Lytechinus pictus: one gene and its partners. The protein of the gene in region 1 interacts with the protein of each later gene in a pairwise test. Links are inferred from orthologs where the notes say so. Each region holds a gene or a part of one and is shown in the gene's direction. Other genes may lie near its edges.

Region 1 (7,066 bases):
TGTCAAGGAATGCTGATGATGGTGGTGGTTATGGTGATGATGATAATGGTGATGATGATGATGGTGGTGGTGGTGGTGCATGGCGGTGATGATGCTGATAATGAGGATGAAAATGATGATGATGATGAAGATAATGAGGGTGACAATGATGGTGATGATGATGATTATAAAGATGACGTTGAAGAAGATGATGATGAATATGATAAATTACAAAACGACGGCGATGATGATGATGGTGATAATGAAGATGATGAATTACAAAATAACGACGGCGATGATGATCATGGTGATAATGAAGATGATAAATTACAAAATAACGACGGCGATGATGATGATGGTGATAATGAAGATGATAAATTACAAAATAACGACGGCGATGATGATGATGGTGGTGGTGGCGGTGATGATGCTGATAATGAGGGTGACAATGATGGTGATGATGATGATTAAGATGACGTTGAAGAAGATGATGATGAATATTAAATTACAAAACGACGGCGATGATGATGATGGTGATAATGAAGATGATAAATTACAAAAAATAACGATGGTGATGATGATGATGGTGATGATGGTGGTGGTGGCGGTGATGATGAAGATAATGAGGGTGACAATGATGGTGATGATGATGATTAAGATGACGTTGAAGAAGATGATGATGAATATTAAATTACAAAACGACGGCGATGATGATGGTGATAATGAAGATGATAAATTACAAAATAACGACGGCGATGATGATGATGGTGATAATGAAGATGATAAATTACAAAATAACGACGGCGATGATGATGATGGTGATAATGAATATGATAAATTACAAAAAATAACGATGGTGATGATGATGGTGGGATAATGATGACGATGGTGGTGATAGTGAGGATGGTGATACAACACAGGGCCGCAGAACGGTTTTGAAATTGGGGAGGCTACGTACATTCAAAAAACACAAAAACGTTTTTGTACATGGAAGAGTTAGTTCCAACATCACTTCATTCATTCATTTATTTATTCATTTTTACAACAAAATTTATAATGCAATAATTACAATAAATAAAACATAACATCAGAAAATATGAATGACATAAATATTCAAATAAACCAAACATACAGAATATACACCTGGTACAGAATATAATATTTCCAAATTGATAATAACAAAATGCAAGATATGTTGGAAAAATGGAGTGGCCCACTGAAAAGCAAAGCTTGTAAAGTGTGGCCCCTAGCTTTCAAGAACAATGGTGTTACATGTAGGCATTCTTTCTGATGATGGCAACAGTGGTTGGTTTTTTTTTATTCAAAATTCACCTAGGCCTATGTAGGTGTACTTGAAATGTTCCACAAATAGTCCGAAAACTAATAGTGTAAGTTACGTGATCCATGATGATGGTGATGACGATGATGACGATGATGATGATGAGGATGATGATGATGGTGGTGGTGGTGGTGGTGGTGGGGTGCAACCTATGAGAATAACACACGCAGCACCCTCCATAAAAGTCTCGGGGATGGTTCAGCACCCCTGCTTCCAGAGCCATTGGTCTCAGTTTGAAACTTGATGTTCCGCTATTTCAGAAAGTTTTCCTAATACGATCATTGTACAGTCCGACGATAAATTCAGGAAAATAGATTGGGCAGATAAAAGTCATGATGTCTATAATCAAATGATTTAGCAAAACTATACCACTTTTTAAATCATTTAGGTATACCCCAACCCCTCGCCGGTACGCCAATTGTGATGATAATGGCGGGGATGATCATGAATATAATGGCGATATGATAATAATTATGATAACGTTCATTATGACTGTGAAAGACAAATGGAATAAGAAAATGATAGAGCTATGGCATTTTACAACTCGACCTTTTTAGATTAGTCTTACTCTATACATGAGGATGATGATGTTACACATTTTATTTTACAGGGTAGTACATCTCAAATTCGACTATTTATGAGGCATGTGAGGAATAGAACAGTCTCTTATTATAGGCCTATATACTGTTGGGAAATGGAAATATTTTATTTATCAAATAACAAAATAAAATAAAAAAATAAGTTAGTGAGTCTTTGACATAATTGGCTCCCTCATTTGCAAGACCGCCAATTGTACTTGGCCTACTACTTTATAAAAGTATATTTGAAGAAAGAAACTTAAAGAAATTGACTCAAATGCTCTTTTTTACTTCCGAAACAGACAAACAGTCTATTTGAAAGAAATACTAAATACTATTTGAAAGAAATACTAACACATGTGTAAGCAAAACCTCTCACACAAAATATTTTCCACATCTCCTCATTTGCTCATTAAAGGGGGAATTCACAATTACATTAAATTGATTTCAATAGAAGCCAAAAAAAGAGAGGAACATATGCCTAAAAAGTTTTAGCGAAAATCCATAAGAGGATATAACGAAATTATTATTATTTTGTTGTTATTGTTGTTGTGTTTGTTTTTATTTTGTGACGTCATATGCGAGCAGTTAATTCTCCCCTTATGAGCATCTTTTTATGATGGCTACCTGCGCATTACAAATGTGTGTACTAGTAATCGATTGTTCAACATATCATTTCATAGGCCTATCGGCTTCTATTTTTACTGAAGAAAGAGAAGGAAGGAAGTAGTCGTGGGCCATTAAAAATTGAAATTTATATATATTGGGAGCTACTCGCACATGACATGACGCTAACATTTAACTTTTAAATTATCGCCAACTTATGAGTGAACCCCTCCTTTGATGAACGAATAAGACAATTCATACGAGAGCGCAATAAACTGGTATAGTATCATCAGCCAATAGCGTAATGAGCCCCCCCCCTCTAAAAAAAATGAGGGGGCAACATAATTTACGTGTAACAAAATTTCTTAAAAGTCGTGAGCGAGTGAGCAAATGTTTGTCCTTTTAAAATGACAATCTAATTTTGCGATAGGTCTATATAGTTTGAAATATTTTTTAGAAAATAATACTTCATCTGAACCTTCTTCCTTTATGTTCCCTTTTTCCTACTTTGAACTTTTGGGACCCCCCCCCCCTCCCACACACACACACTCACTCACACAACTGCAAGCCATGACAATAGCAGAACAATATATGAACAAATTAAATACAAAAGATTTACCAATTAATTGTAATTTATATATAGGCTTAATTAAAATAAAAATTTGTAAAAAACGTTTATTCATGTGTTACCATTTTAATTTTAACCGGGGGACAGGAGGGGGCTCTAGCCCCCGCACTTTTTTTCCAAAACCGTGTACAAAAACGAAAAAAATTACCACCTGATTATGATTTTTGCATGGTCAGCCCCCCCCCCCCCCCCCCACGCACGTTTTATTCAAAACCGTTCCGCGGCCCCTTTATATATATGCCTATAATTTGATTCTTTTTTTTTTTGCCTTTCATTTTGCATTTTTTATATTGAATTATAATGTTGTCCTTTATCGAGATATTGTGTGATTGTCATTAATTTTAATAAACTGCTGTAGGATGACACTTGAAAATAGAGATACATGTCACTGTAGTATTAAACAAAAGTATTGGAGTAAAAAACCCTGCACCGGCCTCAATCCAATACCAAAGCTATTTTTTTAAGCAAACACGTTGGTATCAATCATTCACAAAGCATTTTCATTTATTTGATGCAAGATAGAAGAGTTATGTATCGAAATACGCCTCGGTCAAGGGCCGTACCGGGTATCGAACCCCGGACTTTCATTGTGTAGTCGGGTACCTTAGACCACTCGGCCACGGCACCAAGCTATTTTTTTTTTTTATAATATTTTATTTTCTTCCTCTTTCAAATCAAGTTAATCACTTCGTATAAATCAAGATTTTGTACATATATACGAGACAAAGAAATATATCAATATCAATGAGATTACAAATTTTCAGAATTATTAGAAATGAAGTTAACTGCCCAATTTCTCTTACATTAAAAAAGCAGAGAAAAAGTATCATCAATCGACAAATAAAAAACAGACTTTGTAAAAGGTGACTTTTTGCACTGCAAAACAAGAGGTCTAGCGCCATCTACATTTCATAATTGGGTAGTGTCGTTTCGGTCGCTTTTTGGAGCTCATGACTGGCAAAAATTGAGATTGAGACCAAAAAAATAATCGTTTTATTTGTATATTTAAAGACTATTTGTTGAATTATTTTGTGCCAAAATAAAAGGAGGCCAACATCATGCAGGGAATGCACGAGACCGTCCCGAGTTATCATCCGGTGGAACAACAGAGATTCAATCCATACACATTCAATGGAGGGTAAGGTTACTCGTCTGTCCACTTTGTCAGTTTGTGCAGCGCTGTCCCTCCTCGCCTAGCCTCAGCTCCGGCGGCTCGCTCGCCAAGGAGGGAGCTAGGCGGTGGAGCTGCCGCGTTCATGGCAGCCAGGATCAGCTCACAATTCACATTCTGAACGCTAGGTTACTCTCTAAATTTGCGCTAATGCAGTTGGCTCTATCGTCATCCAAGTCACTGGGGACAAACTTGAGACACACCTTTATCAAAATATCAGCAATCTTTCTCTGGAATAACGCCTTCTTAAAGAGGTTTTCAAAACCAAAGTCTTTATTAAATAGAAATCTAGACTATTGTTTGCGAATTGCGGCGTGAAGCTTCTGAAGTCTGAACAGGGGCTTTCTTCCACCACACGTTTTCCTATTGACACAATAACAACTGACTCAGACACTTTTTCAAACAACAAAAAATAGTAATCTTCTTTCTTTTCTCCTGAATATTCTTCCAAGTTGAAACAAAAACACGAAATAAAACAAAATTAATCACACTAAAAACTAAATTTTAACTGCTCGTGATCCCATAGCATAGGAGGGGACTCGAATAACGATATGCTCGTCATCCGAGTCCCCTCCTGTGGGAAATTTGCAGTTAGATCTAAATAGTATTTTTAATGTGATTTTTTATTGATTTTAATGATTCTTATTATCGAGGATATTCATTTATCATCTCTAAGAAACTGTCTAAAGTGGCAGTTAAATAGTTTTTTTTTTTAATGTGATTTTTACTGATTTTAATGATTCTTAATTTCTTATTATTGGAAAGTCAAAAAGGGGGCCTAAGCTTTCGATCCTAGCAGAATCTTCGTCGGAGGCAAAATGACAAACATATAAAGTGGAACAACCATAATATAGACCACAAACAAGCTACAGCAACACTAGAAACAAGGAGACAAAAGGGGCATTAGTGAGTAGAGAAGACCAATCAGGTTAGTGAAGGGGATGAAAGAAAAGGAGTAGGCAGACACTTATTATTGAGAATATTCATTTATAAGACTGTAGGAAACTCTCCAGAAGTGGCAGAGTGGTTTTGAAGAGGAGGGAAATGCAAAATGAGGGGTAGATGAATATCAACTTGTTAATTGCCGTTTTGTATTTTAGGAGAGGGGACTTGGATCACGAGTTTCAGTAATAGTATTCCTCGTTATCCAGTGAAGTCCCCTCCTATGGGAAATTGGACAGTCTTTACACAGGAAGGGGACTCGGATCACGAGGAGTAATTAGACAGTTAATAAGTATTTTAATGTGATTTTTATTGATTTTAATGATTCTTATCGAAAATGTTCATTTATCATCTTTAGAAAAAGTGTCTAAAAGTGGCAGAGCAGAGTGGTTCTGAAAAGGAGGGAAATGAGGGGTAGATGAATATCATCGGGTTAATTGCCGTTTTATTTTAGTGGGGGGACCTGGATCATGAGGAGTAATGACACATTTTTATAGTGTTTTTAGTGCAATTCTATTGATTTTTAATAATAATTCATATAAAGAATATTCATTTATCATATCTCTAGGAAACTGTCTAAAAGTAGGAGTGGGCTATACATGTAAATGGGTGATTTTTTGTTTTATTGTGGCAACAGTTTTTTTTTGTTCCTTAGCAAGTAGCAAGCAGCTTTTATAGCTATATTGCCTTAGAGAAATATATCTTATCAAATAAAAGAAAGTTTTATAATCCATAGGGGCTATACGGTACATGTATACAATGCACTGGAGACTGGACATACACTACACTGCATACAATCATCTAATTGCTATTCATTTCATTTGATGTTTATTTTTTTATCTCTTGTATAAGACAGAAATAACCATTGTTTCCAGGGATTTATTCAACAATTTCTGAATTCTTACTATCATCCCATTCACCTAACCAGGAGGCTCCTAAAGAGTAAAAATCATTCTCTAACATGAGCTTACCTCCATGGAGCCAGGGCATGTGCCTACATGTATATCTTGTCTGTAGTGGCTGGGCTTTTTTAAAACTTTTGCCCCTGTGATTTCAACTTTCCCTATAAGAGTTCTAGCCCTAAGTCATGTTCATGTAAATGGGCTAGCATAGGCGGATCCATGGAGCCAGGGCATGTGCCTATATCTTGTCCGTAGCGGCTGGGCTTTTATTAAACTTTCGCCCCTGTGATTTCTACTTTCCCTATAAGAGTTCTAGCCCTAAGTCATGTACATGTAAATGGGCTAGCATAGGCGGATCCAGGGGGCCGCCCCCCCCCCCCCTATTGGCGGAGCAAAAGAAAAAGAAAAAAAAAAGAAGGGAAAAGAGAGAAGAAGAAAAAAGAGGAGGAAGAATGGAAGATGAATGAATAAAATAACATGAGGGGAAGACTTGGAAAAAAAAAAAAATCTTTCATGTCATATAAAATTTTCGCTCGTGCTTCACGCTCGAATTGCCTGTTCGAATGATACGTACATGTATGTAGCTTGTTCAGAAGCCTGATATACATGTAGAGCTTAAAATATCAAGTTTTTAAGTCAATAAGCAAAACGTATTTCAACATGGACATTGATCTTTTATTAATTTGCTTGATTTGCCAATTAATTTGAAAAAAAGTGCTTTGTAAAATGTCTGTTTTATTATCTGAATATCAACATTTACAGCTCACGCTGCGCGCTCGCATTATTTGATTTGTCAAGTACCTATCCTCTTCATGCATTCCATAAAGTTATAAAAAAATATATATCTTGTCAGGTCTGATTATCAAAACATATCAACTAGCGCTGCACACTAGCATTTTGATTGAGTTATGTGTTCTATAA
Region 2 (7,913 bases), on another chromosome or scaffold:
CCACAACTATTTTTTCATTGTGTAGACATGATTTTAATGGTACTATTGTGTCTTATGTATATGCACTCGTATCAAAGTCCAAATGGATAATTGGCATTTATCACCACACACTAAAAGTTTCAATCTGCAATTAGGGGTTTAAAAAGGTGTCAGACTACGTGGTTGTGGGGGGGGGGGTAGTCGCGTGTGTCATGTGTAGGGGGTGGGGCTCATACCCGTAATATGGGTACCATACCGATATACATGTAGCTCCTCTGTCAAGACAGGAAGAGTGGAGCAAGTTTAATATTAAGGGCACGGAGAAAAGGGATAGATACTTCCTCTGGTAAAAAGGCACACCAAAAAAGAAAAAAATCGTATCTCCCGAAATCAACCCTTTGTCAGTCGCACAATCACAGGAAACAATCATGATCATCTTTATGATGATGGTGATGATGATTGTGGTCAGTCGGTGAGAATAACAATAATGATAACGATTAATACTAATGGATCATTAATATAAATGATAGCAATAATGTTTATAAACTGTTACCATGTCACTATCTCTACATCATCATCACCTTTACCACCCCCACAACCAATCATCAACACCATCACCACCAACAACATCATCGTCGTCATCATTATCATCACCATCATCATCACCACCATCATCATCACAACTTTTCAGATGGTCAAAATTTCGTCAATTCCTCGTCTCAAGGACAGCGGCGTTACAGGGGTCAGTGGCCAGGGGAGGGCAAGAGCCAAAAATTTCCCGGTCATATCATGGTATGAACATGCGTAATGAGGCGACTATTTTGAGAGGGCCAGATATTGCGTATCGGGCAGAATTTATCTTTTTAAAAAAAGTTGCGAGCGAGCAAAAAAATTGACCTTTTTAATACAAAAATCAAATTTTGTGATAGATTTTGACATGATATCCAGAAAATAATATATTTCACTTTACTCTCTTTCCATTTTTTTTGTGGTCTGTACGCCACTGTGAACAGGATTCTTTGCGGCAGTAGCGTGAAGAGTAAAAAAAAGAGGGGCGCAGTATGACACATGTGCTAAAAAGCTGCTTAATATAAGTCCCGAGCGAGCGAAGCGAGCGAGAAAAAAATCAACTTTTTATGCGATTCTAACTTTGAGATATTTTTGAAATTATATTCGTAAATAAAATGATATCCTACACTTTTCCTTTGCTTCTCTTTCCTCCTTTTTGTTTGTTCTTGTTTGTAGAACTTTTGGGGGCCAATGGCTCAACCCTTCCATACTCATATACGGCAGTGCTGTGCGGTTGGGGTCCGGGGCGGAGCCCCCGGAACTTCTTGATATCAAAGCCATTTAAACCTCGCAGATTGCTGCTATTTCAATCAATTCGCGGGTATATACAGAATGTAGCTTTTACACAACACATTAATATAACCCAGTTGCGTAATGAACCAAATATATTTGAGGGGGCAAAACATAGCAATGTGGGAACATTTACATCCTACATCCACTGCATGTTGGTTTTACTCTTTCTATTTGTCATTATATTGATTTGTTTATGTATTGTTCATATAATATTGTTTATTGTATATTGTACCTTTTGAATGGATGTGAGTAAAGTGAATTGAATTGAATTGTTAAAAGTCGCCAGCGTGCAAAGCGAGCTGGAAAAAAAAAAGCCTATTGAAATTAAATTCTAATTACAATGTATGTGATAGATTTTTCCATTATATTCAGCAAATAACACATTTCATTGCTTCCATTCATTTCATTATACGTTGTCTCCTATAATTTATTTTATTTCCTCTTGGGTGTGGAACCAAGACCCCCCGCGCCTGTACGCCAGTGATTGAACGTGATTGAAAGGGGGCGTTATAGAGCCATTTTATGGTCATAGATCAAGAGCCCCTATTACGTTATTTGCATAAAATTTAGCAAGCTTATAGTTATAGCACAATGTTGTATGCAGTCCATCTTTCTTCCAGCTCTTTATTTTCAATCCTCGGCAGCCCGGTCGTGTTATTATTTTTTCTTGTCCCTTTTCTTTGTTTTCTAATTTAGCTTTTGACTCATTCCATTCTACCTTCGTTTCCCGCTATTGTTTGCCATTTTGTCATCTGTTAATTTATTTCCCATCATGCTATTGCATTACATAAGCCTATTTCGAAATGATTTGTTGTTTGTCAAATCTTCTTCTTTCGTACATTTTCCCGCTTTTTTTCCTTTTCCATTAAAAAAAATCTTCATTTTCTTTTCACTTTTCCCTTTCCTTTTCCCATTTCCTCCCCCTTTCCCTTTCTTTCTTCCTCCTTAAAAAAAAAGATTTTTCCCTTTTTTTTTTAATTTTCCCGGTGAAATCCGCCAGGGGGGCAGCTTGCCCCCCGCCTGTTACGCCACTGCTCAAGGAGAGTCTATAAAAGGGGAAAGTACCTTTTAAAATCCCCTTTGGATCCACCCCATCATAAGGAATGAGAAAACGATATCAAGTATAAATTGACATATAGCAGGAAGCAACAGCGAAGTTCAATTCAACCGCACTGTCTTCATAGTCAAAGATCGTATTTTGTAGTTTCCTTTTGTAGGATATAATGGATGCACTATACAATACGGATATATTACAATTAAACAAATAAAACCAATGCTTTCCCAAAGCAGAAAGGATAGTAGAATGCCACACATAAAGGCCTATTACATGCCTATACGTTGATAAATATTATTGTAGCAATCGGGACGGGGATAATAAAAGGAAATAGATATGGGTCATCTAGTAATTTTGCGTGATACAAAACGTAAGGCAAAGTTAAAGGACAAGTCCACCCAAACCAAAAAAAAAAGTTGATTTGAATAAAAAGAGAAAAATCCAACAAGCATAACACTGAAAATTTCATCAAAATCGGATGTAAAATAGGAAAGTTATGACATTTCAAAGTTTCGCTTAATTTCACAAACAGTTATATGCACATCCTGGCTGGTATGCAAATGAGGAGACTATGACGTCATCCACTCACTATTTCTTTTGTATTTTATTATATGAAATATTCTAATTTTCTCCTCATTGTCAAGTGATACGATTAATTCCTCCCTGAACATTTGGCATTAGCATTGTTTAATTTTATATGGTTCAGTCAAGTTGGTCCTTATTGTCAAATCTGCAAAAATGAAATATTGTATAATTCAAACAATACAAAACAAAAGAAATAGTGAGTGATGGACATCATCGACTGAGTCACCGAGTTGTGCCGTTTTGTGAAAAATAAGCGAAACTTAAAAATGTCATAACTTTCTTATTTTACATCCGATTTTGATGAAATTTTCAGCACTATGCTAGTTTGATTTTTGTCTATTTATTCAAGTCAGCATTTTTCGGCCTGGGGTGGACTTGACCTTTAAAGTTAATCGTATCCCTGATACGAATTCTATCATCCAATCCGGCAATAATATTGGAAATGGATCTTGCTCAGCCGCCCATGTTCATTCTTTCATAGTTTTGCGCAGGAAGTTCCCGGAAAAAAAAAGGGGGGGGGGGTAAGAGTTAGACGCGAGGGAGCGAAGCAACTAGATAGGGCCTAATCATGGGTAGATTGTTATTGTATTTTCAAATCAGAACTGACGGATATTATGCATATATTGCTTTATTTTTCACCCAAATTCGTTGTATAACAGAACAATCTTTTGAAAACGTCTCAATTCTACCTCCAATGGAAGTGCTGCTCTAAGATAGAGAAGACAAGCGAAGTTCCCGGGAAAGGGGGGGGGGGGGGTTAGAGTTAGACGCGTGGGAGCGAAGCAACTAGATAGGGCCTAATCATGGGTAGATTGTTATTGTATTTTCAAATCAGAACTGACGGATATTATGCATATATTGCTTTATTTTTCACCCAAATTCGTAGTAATAACAAAACAATCTTTTAAAAACGTCTACAATTCTACTTCCAATGGAAGTGCTGCTCTAAGATAGAGAAGACAAGCGAAGTTCCCGGGAAAGGGGGGGGGGGGGGTTAGAGTTAGACGCGTGGGAGCGAAGCAACTAGATAGGGCCTAATCATGGGTAGATTGTTATTGTATTTTCAAATCAGAACTGACGGATATTATGCATAATATTGCTTTATTTTTCACCCAAATTCGTAGTATAACAGAACAATATTTTGAAAACGTCTCAATTCTACCTCCAATGGAAGTGCTGCTCCAAGATATAGAAGACAAGCGAAGTTCCTGGGAAGGGGGGGGGGGGTAAGAGTTAGACGCGTGGGAGCGAAGCAACTATTTAGGGCCTAATCATGGGTAGATTGTTATTGTATTCTCAAATCAGAACTGACGGATATTATGCATAATATTGCTTTATTTTTCACCCAAATTCGTAGTATAACAGAACAATCTTTTGAAAACGTCTCAATTCTACCTCCAATAGAAGTGCTGCTCCAAGATATAGAAGACAAGCGAACTTACGTCTCCCATTCCCTCCGATATCCCTTACTTTATGTGTACGATTGTTCCGTCCTTATTTCGTCATGGAATATTTCATGACCCCTATATACCAATGCCCAATAATATTTCCGGATTAATGATAAGTTTTAAATCAATCACACATTTGCTTTGGCAGCCAGTATAAAGCTGAATAATAGTTTTCAGCAACTGCGTTCTGTATGATAACAAGTTTTATGAACAACTCCCAGGAACTTAAATAAAAGGGGGTGATAATGGAATAAATCAACCCGATCTGTTTTGGTTGAAATCACAAACCGTAAAAAGGACAAAAGTTCAGAATCGGAACACTCCCTTTATGTTTCACGGTTTAGAGAGCCGCCATAAATGAATGGAATTTATCGTTATTCCACAGATTGCCCCCCCTAACTCTCATGTCTCAATCAGACTTTGAAAGTAGGAAGTAACTGTGCGATATAAACACAACCCAAACTTGTACTTGTCCTTTCGGATATACAGATATATACAGTGTTGTGTGGAGCGATCATGTAGGAGTTGTTCCAGTGCAATAGGTAGAAATATCTTTCAATATTGTCAGTTTACCATCGCATTAAAGCACGAGGGATCGGGATATATGGATTACTATTGCCCTTTTTCGTCAACATAAGACCATCCTACGTTCAGGTAAGTATATTGCGCTTGTGTAACCACTACACTGATATTAGACTAGAACTGCTATGCATTTACCATACATTAATGGCTTGATATTAATGAAATAACGCTCAAATGCAATAATCTGCATTCGAAATATTGTGTATAGCACATAGCTAGTGGATAGAATAAGAAATATTATCGAGCAGAGTTTAACATTCACAGTATTCATTGTTATGGAAAACTGTACATAAATAATTGTTCCATGCCGAGTCAGAACTACCTGACATAGCAGTTTTTTCTTAAGGGATAACATTAGGCTAGTTGTGTGTGTGTGGGGGGGGGGGGGTGCGGGAAGTCTTTTGAAGAAGTTGTCTGTAGGAAAGCATATGAGGAAGTACAAGTGAATATTAAAGCCAAATCTACTAAACTATTTGAATAAGTTATTTGATTAAGTTGTTACGGTATTGACATAGATACATTCCAATCATGAAATTGATAAGGAGTAAATATGTAGCAGAAGGGGAGGAGGGGAAGAAGAAGAAGAGGAAGGATAAGAAGAAGAGGAAGGAGAGGGAGAAGAGGACGAAGAAGAAGAACGAAGAAGAGGAATTAGAAGAAGAGGAAGAAGAAGGAGAGGAAGAAGAAGAAGAAAGGGAAAGAAGAAGATTAAGAAAAGGAAGCAGAAGAAACAGACGGGGAAGAAGAAGAAGAAGATGAAGAAGAGGAATTAGGAGAAGAGGAAGAAGAGGAAGAAAAGGAAAAGAAAGAGGAAGAAGGAGAAAAGGAGGCAGAAGAAACAGACGGGGAAGAAAGAGAAGAAGAAGGGGAAGAAGAAGCAAAGAAATAAGGGAAATAAGAAGAGGTGGAGGAATCATAATAATGAAAATAAGAAGAATAAGAATAAGAAGAATTGAATAAAGAATTCGGAAGCAAGAACAAGATTTTCTGCACCCTTTCTTCCTAACACCCCCACTAACACCCCCGTCAAATACAAAAAAACTTTATACTTAAAGTAATTACTGCACGCGCTCTCACCTATATACTAGTGGTAAAAGTGTACCAGATGAAAAAGTCTGCCCCTCTCGATTTCCGCCACATTTTAAGGGATTTGACACCATAGTAAAATGTCGTGTATATCACTCAGATTTTTTTTTAAACCGACCTATAAGTTGGTTCAAATATGGACTGACTATTGGTTAAAAAAATGCGTGCAAAATGAATAGGATATTTTTTTCTCCAACAGTTGATCAATTCATATTTCAACCAACCTTTGGGTTGGTTGGACAAATTTCTGAGAGTGTAGACTTTTAAGCAGTATAACACCGTAAGGAAATTTCATTAGGCCATATAATTTCAATGAAACACAAGACCCTAAAAACATCCTGCATCTCTCAATTCCAAAAGAATCGGTGATACACTTATTAAAACCTCGTTCACAGTGTCGTGCGATCCGTTACGAACGCGACGATTGGCCTTTCGTAACTGATCGCGAAAACTTTTGAACCATTCCTTTTTTTCTTCAATCAATACGATTGCCACGACTGATCTGATATTCACTACGATTACTCCCAGATTAATAAGATCACCGCTTCAATCATAGCGCAAAACGTGACAGTGGAAATTAGGTATATTAATCATAATCATAATAATTTCTGCCTTCGTCCAAAGGTCAGTTCCACTCCGAATTCATGACTTTTTCATTTCCTCAAAGCATGTCCCGTTGCTTGACAAAAACCACGCGGTTCCGTTTACTTGACAGTGGATCTGTGAGAAAATTGACGTTCATCTTCTGAATTTGTTTTATTTCCTTATTTATGACGAAAATAAAAGAGCAAGCTTAATGATGCTGTGGTATAATTTATTCTTCGATCTTACCGATTGTTTTGTTATTACATAGGCCTACGTATCATGTTTATACAATGATGTAATGAATGATAATGATGATGATGATGATGAGTATAACTATGAAAACATTTAAGTTTGTAATGGTAGTATTGGTGGCGGTGGTGATTAAGATGATTATAATGGTAATATAATGATATGGCGATGATGATGATAGTAATAATAATAATAAAAGTTAGTAACAATGATAATAACAATTTCAATAATATTACTGACAACACTTGTAAATAATGATGGCAATGACATTTAGAACTATGGATATAATTGCATAAGTGATACAATGATGATGAATGTAAATCAAAAGCATGTAAATACCCATCAATAAATTATGTTAATGATAGTAATATAAAACTAACGACGATAACCATGATTGTGAATACCAATATAAGATAAAATTTATCTTTCATTTTAAAAGAAAACCAAACAAACTTCTAAGCATGCTTAGAAGAATAGTGATCTTTTATTCATTTGGAACTTAATTATCCATATTTATCAGCAGACATTGTGCATGAAGTTGACCTCACACTGAACTATACATACCCAATAACAAGCGATTCAATTTGTCTATTAACTATGAAATTTGGCCTAAATGATGAAAATCCGTGGTTTTGCAAATATTTTTCACCTGCAGTGCCCCTGGATGGAAATGGTGCGTGGGCTTTGGAATTCTATTTTCACTCTCCTACGTGGGCAAGCTTTTCTATCAGAAGTGACTTTGGCGAGTCAATTTGATTTTGAAGATCAGTCATAATTTCAAGTGTATAGTGTGAATACACAGGGCAGCTGTATAGCTCGTTGGAAAAACCACCCCTTGAATATACATAGATTTAACACCCCATACGGCAAGGAATATAGTAATCATCCTTCCGAGTGGAGTGCTTGAAGGACTTGACTATACTCAAAATGGAAAGTCCGCCCCGAGCCCCCGACGCCATGTTGGCTTTAATAAAATAGAAAAT
Region 3 (7,982 bases), on another chromosome or scaffold:
TATCTACCCCCTTCCAAAAATTTATGAAGGAAGAAGAACACTCCCAAAACACACTCAAAATAAATCAAAATGAAAATGAATTGAAATCCAATGGGATACCAATTCGCGCAAAGTAAGGTTCGCAAGCGCCACTGTGGTAATTTTTGGGGTATTAGTATATATATCCTGTGAGGGAAAGAGTGGAAAGTGGGGTTAACAGGAGGAAGGTTCACAGATATACTCACCAGTAGGAAGTTGGTGCAAGGCACGTTGAAATAAAGATACGGTAACCAAAAAGCAGGCCTAAATAACTTGTGGATATTGCTGGTGTGACGTATTCTTGGTGTAGATGTATAATTGCCGATGTGATGTATAATTGCCGCAACTAGATGAAACCCGAAGGGCGAACGGGCGAAGCAGAAGGTATAGTAAGTGTAAACACAGACGTCCTTGTCTCGCACCGGTCGACTCTCCAAGTGATGATCAGATCCCTTGGCTGGCCTGACTATGCAGCTATGCTGAGACCTGAGTTGTGCACCCAAGCATGGATGAATGCACAGGGCTTGGGGGTTTGGGTCTATTGTTGTGTGCACACAACACAGCCTCTAGCCCATAGTACATGTGTATTCTATGCTCCAACCAAGGAGGCAGTTGCTCCAACCCATCCCACAGTACTACATGTATGTAGGGAGCAGTCGCGCGTGCCCCAGACTGTGGTACATTTTACCACACGCGATACCTCTCCTAACCCAGTCTCGATCGGCCATTTTGTTATGAATTTTGAAAGAAGGAGAGGTACATCTTTTTTGCTTCCATCTGGACTGGTAGAGCTTCATGAGGTTCACCAAGCTTTTACACAGAATTTCGAAATTTTGACTAGAAATATTTTTATGCTAATTTATGCGAAATTAATTTATGTATATTTTAAAATGTCATATTAAAATATGCTTCTTTATTTGTTGACCGATTTTTTTTTCTTCCATCTTGTAGAGCTGAATGAGGTGCACCAAACTTCTGATCAGAATTTTGAAATTTCGAGTAGAAAAGTATTCATGCTCATTTTTTGCGAAATTTATTCATAAATCATAGAGAATGCCTCTTATTTATTTGTTGACCGAATTTCAAAATACTTCTTCGTCATTTCAAGTCCAATTTCAATTCTGTTTGCTATATATGATAGCACTAGGTGGGGATTCAAAACTACTACACAAAATTTTGAAACTCATTATATATGCTAAATTTTGCACAATTTTCAAAATTCACAAAAATGCTCCTCCTTCTTTATTTGTTGACTGATTTTGATTTTTTGCTTTCTTCTGGTAGAGCTTCATGAGTTTCACCAAACTTCTACACAGAATTTTAAAATTTTGACTAAAAAATTTTTTAATGCTAATTTATGCATACAATGTATTTTTAAAACTTCACATAAAATGCTTCTTCTTTGTTTATCGATTTTGAATTTTTTTTCAAATCCCAGCCATGGCGTGGTTTCCTTCATCAAGAAATTAATCCACATTGTGCTGCACTCAACCCAGGTGAGGTGAATGGGTACCTGGCAGGAATTTATTCCTTGAAATGCCGAGTGCATGAAAGCTGCTTGAGCTACAGCTGGGGTAATAATCCAAGTCCTTTGGAAGCGCATAGAGATGTTATTCATTATGTGTTATGCGCTATACAAGAACTGTCTATTATTTTATTTTATTTTCTTCCATCTTGTAGAGCTTCATGGGGTTCACCAAACTTTTTAACAGAATTTTAAAATTTCGAGTATAAAATTATTCATGCTAATTTATTGGAAATTTATTCATAAATCATAGAAAATGCCTCTTTAATTGTTGACCAATTTTGATTTTTTTTTTCATCCATTTGGTAGAGCTACATGAGGGTAACCAAGTTTCCACACAGAATTTTGAAATTTTGGCTAGAAGATTATTTATGCTAATTTATGCAAAATTTATTCATAAATCACAAAAAATACCTTTTCTCCTTCATTTGTTGATCAATTTCAAATTTGTTTGCTTAAATATATGTCAGCTCTAGGTGGTCATACTAAGTTTCTACACAGAACTTAGAAACTCATTAGATATGTTAATTTATGCATATTTTTCAAAACTTACAAAAATGCTTATTTATTTGTTGACAGATTTTGATTTTTTGGTTCCATCTGAGAGCCTCATGAGGTTCACCAATTTCAATTCTGTTTCCTCAATTCATGTCACCAATATAGTTCACTACAGTGTCAACTGGGCTGAAGTTAAAAATTGTGTTAAATTTTGCTGCGAGATGCCGGATGAGCTCCACATCAGTGATGTGCTAGTTTATTTCTGGTGGGAGATTGTTTCAGTCTTTTATTGTATTTGGTATAAAACTATTGAGGTAGGCTTTTGTTCCACATTGAAGTGGTACCAATCGGCTGTTGTTGGCTCTTACTGATCTTGGTGCTTCCAACACATATTCAGGGATGTTTACAGCGGCTTCCTTTTATGGTGAGATTTGTAGAATAAGGTTAGTCTGCTGTCCTTTCTTCATGGTTGGAGAGAAGGCCATTTTAGTGATCTGACTAATTCAGCTCAGATCACAATCTTGAAACAAAATAAAGGAAAGATGGAGATAACAATTAAAAAGATCAAAAGAAAAGAAAAAGAAAGAAATTAAAGGAAGGATTGAATAAAGAGAATTAAAAAGGATTTGGCCTAATACTAATAGTAGTAGCCCACTCACATCTATTGCGAGATTAGTATGTTATATCAACTTTGCGTTACAAACGTGATTACACAATTTTTTTTTTTTTTAGTAGTCGGTTAACATCGCTGCATAACAGGAATAATGTTGGCGGAAACTCATTCCGCTACTCACTGGGGCTCTTTCCAGTTACTGGAGTTAGTGGCTATCCGTTTTTAATTGTTTTATTATTTTTTTCTATAAAAAGCACATAAAACGACTTAAACAAGCAAATTCGCCTACCTCGGCCTGGAAAGTGGCTTCACATGTCTCTACCATGGAAATAAAAGGAAGCTCGATGGTGGCGCTAATACAATTCACAACCTTAATTCAGCTCTATAATGAAAGATTGGACACTTTGCAGACTCCGCGTAATGCTTTGCATCGATTTAAGTGTAAAATGATTTTGGTGCCTAGTCTTTCCCTTGTAGTGTCTTTGATATGAATATGAATTGCGCACCCTCTTGAGACGAAAAATTGGGAAACGGCGAGTAAACTGAAGACGGACAGTCAACCTGCCCGAAACGTCGAGTCTCTCTACTGCTTCTGCTCATCATCTCTACTCGCCGACTCAAGCCAGCACCTCATCCATCCTACTAGTCAAGCTGTTTCAACTCATCAATCTCTTCTGGTTTACAGTCCTTTTCAGGACTACATTCAAGAAAGATTACTCTACTCTCAAATTTCCACTTTCTCGCCTATCCATTTCTGTTTTCTTTTTCTTTTTCTTCTTCTATCCACTGTTTCTATAATACTCCACATGGTGTACCGTAAACCACATCAGCGATTGTACATGCCACCATGGAAACCTTCAAACAACATCTAAACTCCATAGTTCGTCAACGAGAAGAAAAATCAGCGCTTAAGTAGTATTTGAGGAATATTAGCGAAAATTTGATTCATATCATTCACAGTCTTGAAAGCAAATTGTGTGCTCGCTATGATTCGACGCACTTTCTTGCATAGAGACAAAGAAAACATCAAGAGGTTGTACAGGTCACTTGTGACATCAATTCTGGAATACGCGAACGGAATATGGTACCTACGATATGCTCCTGACTTGAAGGCTGTTGAGAAAGTCCAGCGACGAGCAACCAAACTAGTACCAACCCTGAAGGAAATGGACTATGGTAGAAGGCTGCATTATGAGCGCAATGGCCATCATCTGTCTGTGTAGGAGGAGGACAAAAAAATTCAGAAAATTTTGAAAAAAACTCCTCCAAAACATTGGATTTATCAGTCTAGTAGTAGCCTTGCTTTAGTCATTGTCAAAAAATTATCAACAGGAAGGGTATTCAAATTCAAATTCAAATTCAAATTGTTTTATTCTCTCAGTAAAACCTTTACATAAAAAACAAATATAATACAAAGTTAAAATACATGTATTACAAATCAGTGTAAAAGACAGTCTAAAAATTGCATTATGATTCAGAATCATACTGAGGGGTGGCAGCCAAAAAGGAAAAAAATCCTTATAATTAGGCCGACCCATTATTAAAACGAAAAGGTGACATAGAAAATGCAATAACAGGGATATAGCAAAAACATTTCTAAAAACAAACAAAATAACTTAAAAATACACATAAACAATGAACCAAGACATCAAAAAGTGCCATGCCCTAACATAATATTACAATAATTATAATAATACAAGTGCTATACATAAACTATACATCATTCAGCCACTGTATTTCTCAAGAAGGTATCTTTTGAACTGTGTTTTGAATAAATTAAGTGTTTTTGCATTGCGTATTTCATCTGTTAGTGAATTCCAAACTACAGGACCTTGATAAATGATGGATTGTTGAGACAGTGACGTTCTTATTTTAGGAAGATGAAAATTATTTGCATTTCTCGTAGGATAAGAATGTATATTGCAATTCAGGTTAAAATATTCTAATAGAGAAATGGGTAAAAGTTTCCGATAACATAAAAACCAGGAACCAGTGCCTCAACAACTTTAAAGTAGGATATAAGTTTTAGGAGTTGGTGTCTTTAGGCAAGAGTATAGGCTGGTTGAGATTCTCTGTCATCTCGGTGATCAAGCCTGGTTCTTTAGAGTTAGATTGAACATACTACATTGTAAGTTAACAAACCAAGTGCGATGTACATGTGTCTAATGAGCCATGTAGTTAAGACCATCATTTTCAGCATTAACATTAAGAAAAAAAATCAAAGCAAATTAAATGTAATACTACTAGTAATACCAGGAACATAATTTGTTGGTAAATATAAGACATTGATATTGACTCTTTCTTCTCATTTGCAGATGCTATTCTGTATTTCACTGAGTACATGTCTACAAACCAGGACATCTCTGCTGCAGTGGCTGCTATCAACACTCTGATTGAATACCTGAAATTAAGTCAAGGTGCTACTACCTATACTATTTACTAATTTTTTTTTAAAAGGTATACAAACAAATGTTAATCAGGAGTGCTTGGTACTTGCAGTCTGCAACCACTGTGCCTGTGTTGAGTCTATGCAACATAAAACACACACTCCAAAAAGTCTCTGAAATATTACTTTCATAACAAATGATACTAAATCCATTCATTTATGATCATTTGTTTTCTTTATAATCTTAGAGATTGTTTGTTTTATTCACCAGAGTGTTAAAAAACTGTAATATTTAGCATGTATTTTTGTGACCCTCTGTTGATTGAAAGTAATTATAAGTAGCCCACAAAGGCACAGACTTTATTTTGTTAGGAAAAAAAGTTTAGAATTCAATTTAATTTTGGGCCAAGGCATTTGATGAATAAAATATAAAAAGAATATCTGTAGTCAGAACAAGAACAAATAAGACTTTATCTACTTGATCAAGAGAAAAAGTGACAAACCCACTAAGGGGATGGGTTCATTCTCAAACATTGTAAGGGTCTCCCCTTCAGTGAGTTTGTCATTCGCCTGAAGAAACCAATTAAAAATTGGCAAAACGTCACATCAGTAAGGTGTATTTCCACTAAATATATGTTTTGTTTATGTTTGTACATGTATGTATACAGCTGAGACATTAGCTGGTCTTCGAGATGGGCTGAAGGAATGTATCAGATGGTTGATGGAAACAGATAGTTCAGTAACAGCTATATCATCAGGATGCGAGCTGTTCCTAAGATTTATCACTCTTGCAGCCTTAGATCACAAGGTGTATTATTTCATTTTGTCTTGTGAATCATAGTTTCTTTGTTTTGTTTAGGCCTCATATATGCTTTCTCAAAATGTATCACTGAAGCAGCCATTTTTTTTTTTTTTTATGGGGGGGGGGTATTTTGGGGGTTGCCTGGTAATGCCAATGTACTGACTTATTCAATGATAGCCTATTGATTTTTTGTAGTCATTTATATTTGTGGTTTAAGTAAAGAATGGTCTACAGTGTTGAATTAATCTATAACTTACAGAGGAAACCAAAATTTTTTTAGATTCATTCTTTCCATTTTATGTGTCTTCTTTGTTTGTTTGATCTGCAGTCTCTCAAGTCTTGAAAAATGTGCTTTGTGTCCTTTTCTTAAGTCTTTTATTCATTATGTTTATTCCTCTTTCCATCATCTTTTATTTTCATTTCAGAATTTTAATGAATGCAAGAAGATCTTAGTAAACCGAGGTAATATGTACCTAGACACTGTAGCCGGGTCAAGAGATAAGATTGCTAAGCTTGGTCATCCATTCATCACCGATGGAGCAGTAAGTTCTGGGAAGATTTTCACTGCCTAATTTGTTATGAGCCAATCAAATGCAAGGATTTCAGTAGCTTATAACAGTTGTCAGGGAAAATCATTGATGATGAAATGCTCCCCACATGGAGGAAAATTAGACTGTTAATTGTATTGTGGTATTGGCATGAAGCATGCTGGTAAGGAGTCCAATGGAATACCATTCCTTGTTCATGTGAAATTATCCAAGAAAGAAAAGAATTAGTTGAGATTTCTTGAGCTGTTTAAAGCCATGGCAGCATTGAAATCCTTCATTGTCACATACCTACCAAAGATTGTATTTGATCAGAATATACATATTTTGGGGAAAAGAAAATTGCCATTTTAACCAGTGTTTTTATACGCCCATCTCGACGGGACATATGGTATCACGCTCGGTGTCCGTCCGTCCGTTAACTTTTCCTTGTAAACACGATAATTTCGGTTTAACTTTACCTAGGCTCATATGATTTGGTATGTATGATACTAGCATGGATCCCAGGAAGCCTATTGATTTTGAGGTCACAGTGACGTATTTTTATCGTACCCTTCTGCAGTCGTTGTAAACGCGATAACTTCAGTTTAACTTAACCTAGGCTCATATAATTTGGTGTGTATGATACTAGCATGGATCCCAGGAAGCTTATAGATTTTGAGGTCAAAAGGTCAAAGGTCAAGCTCACAGTGACATGTTTTCATCTTACCCTTCTGCAGTCCTTGTAAACTTGATAACTTCAGTTTAACTCAACCTAGGCTCATATAATTTGGTGTGTATGATACTAGCATGGATCCCAGCAAGCCTATCGATTTCGAGGTCAAAAGGTCAAAGGTCAAGATCACAGTGACACGTTTTCATCTTACCCTTCTGAAGTCCTTGTTAACGCGATAACTTTAGTTGAACTTAACCTAGGCTCATATAGTTTGGTGTGTATGATACTAGCATAGATCCTAGCAATTCTATTGATTTTGAGGTCAGAAGGTCAAAGGTGAAGTCGCCATCTTCCACTTTTCTTGCTTGACCAATACTCCAGTTTCCGTGAACATACAGACGGGTGTATTATGTGCTCGCCTTAGCGACACTCTTGTTCAATTTTTGTGAAAATTTGTCTGTAGTATTCTATAGGAAATTTAAGAATGTTCCGACTTTGGGGATGTTTCTTAGTAATTTGTTAATATTTCTTGGCTTTCAGCGTTGATTGGTATCTGTATTCATGCCAAAAATGTAAGTTTAAAGCAGAATCTCTTGTCAAGGATTTTTTAGTAGCAGGGAAAAATTGCACAGGGGTGATTTTGACCCCAAATAACCAAAAGAGCCTTGAAAAAAAAAGATCCCTGGAAAATCCCCATTCCCTGCAATGTTGTTCAAAGTTTGTACAATACAGTATAGCAGATTTAGACAGGAGGTTGTGAAAAGTAGCTCCTGAAAAAAAAAAAATCCTGCTTAGTTTAAAAGAGGTCAGTCTGTTAAGTTGAAACTGAGAGCGCTTTTGGCCATTTGGGAAAAGCACTTTATTAATATTGGGTATTACATGTATACTATTATTATGAGATTATGTGTGCCATTTTAAATGTGAATACCATTTTTACACA

Evidence for each region.
Region 2: the proteins of proteasome subunit beta type-1-B-like (region 1) and actin-binding protein WASF2-like interact in a two-hybrid assay, tested with the Caenorhabditis elegans proteins (3 studies listed by BioGRID). The link is inferred for Lytechinus pictus from reciprocal best matches to the Caenorhabditis elegans genes pbs-6 and wve-1.
Region 3: the proteins of proteasome subunit beta type-1-B-like (region 1) and translation initiation factor eIF2B subunit alpha-like interact in a two-hybrid assay, tested with the Caenorhabditis elegans proteins (2 studies listed by BioGRID). The link is inferred for Lytechinus pictus from reciprocal best matches to the Caenorhabditis elegans genes pbs-6 and eif-2Balpha.

Annotation. Positions count from the first base shown.
Region 1 is NC_087259.1:10,581,755-10,588,820, reverse strand, and holds the start of proteasome subunit beta type-1-B-like, read left to right. Parts: upstream 1-4,027; 5' UTR 4,028-4,188; coding exon 4,189-4,268; intron 4,269-7,066. UniProt on the Caenorhabditis elegans protein: Non-catalytic component of the proteasome, a multicatalytic proteinase complex which is characterized by its ability to cleave peptides with Arg, Phe, Tyr, Leu, and Glu adjacent to the leaving group at neutral or slightly basic pH.
Region 2 is NC_087257.1:21,056,276-21,064,188, forward strand, and holds the start of actin-binding protein WASF2-like, read left to right. Parts: upstream 1-4,828; 5' UTR 4,829-5,082; intron 5,083-7,913.
Region 3 is NC_087246.1:1,160,668-1,168,649, reverse strand, and holds the start of translation initiation factor eIF2B subunit alpha-like, read left to right. Parts: upstream 1-4,973; 5' UTR 4,974-4,995; coding exon 4,996-5,071; intron 5,072-5,708; coding exon 5,709-5,848; intron 5,849-6,267; coding exon 6,268-6,384; intron 6,385-7,982.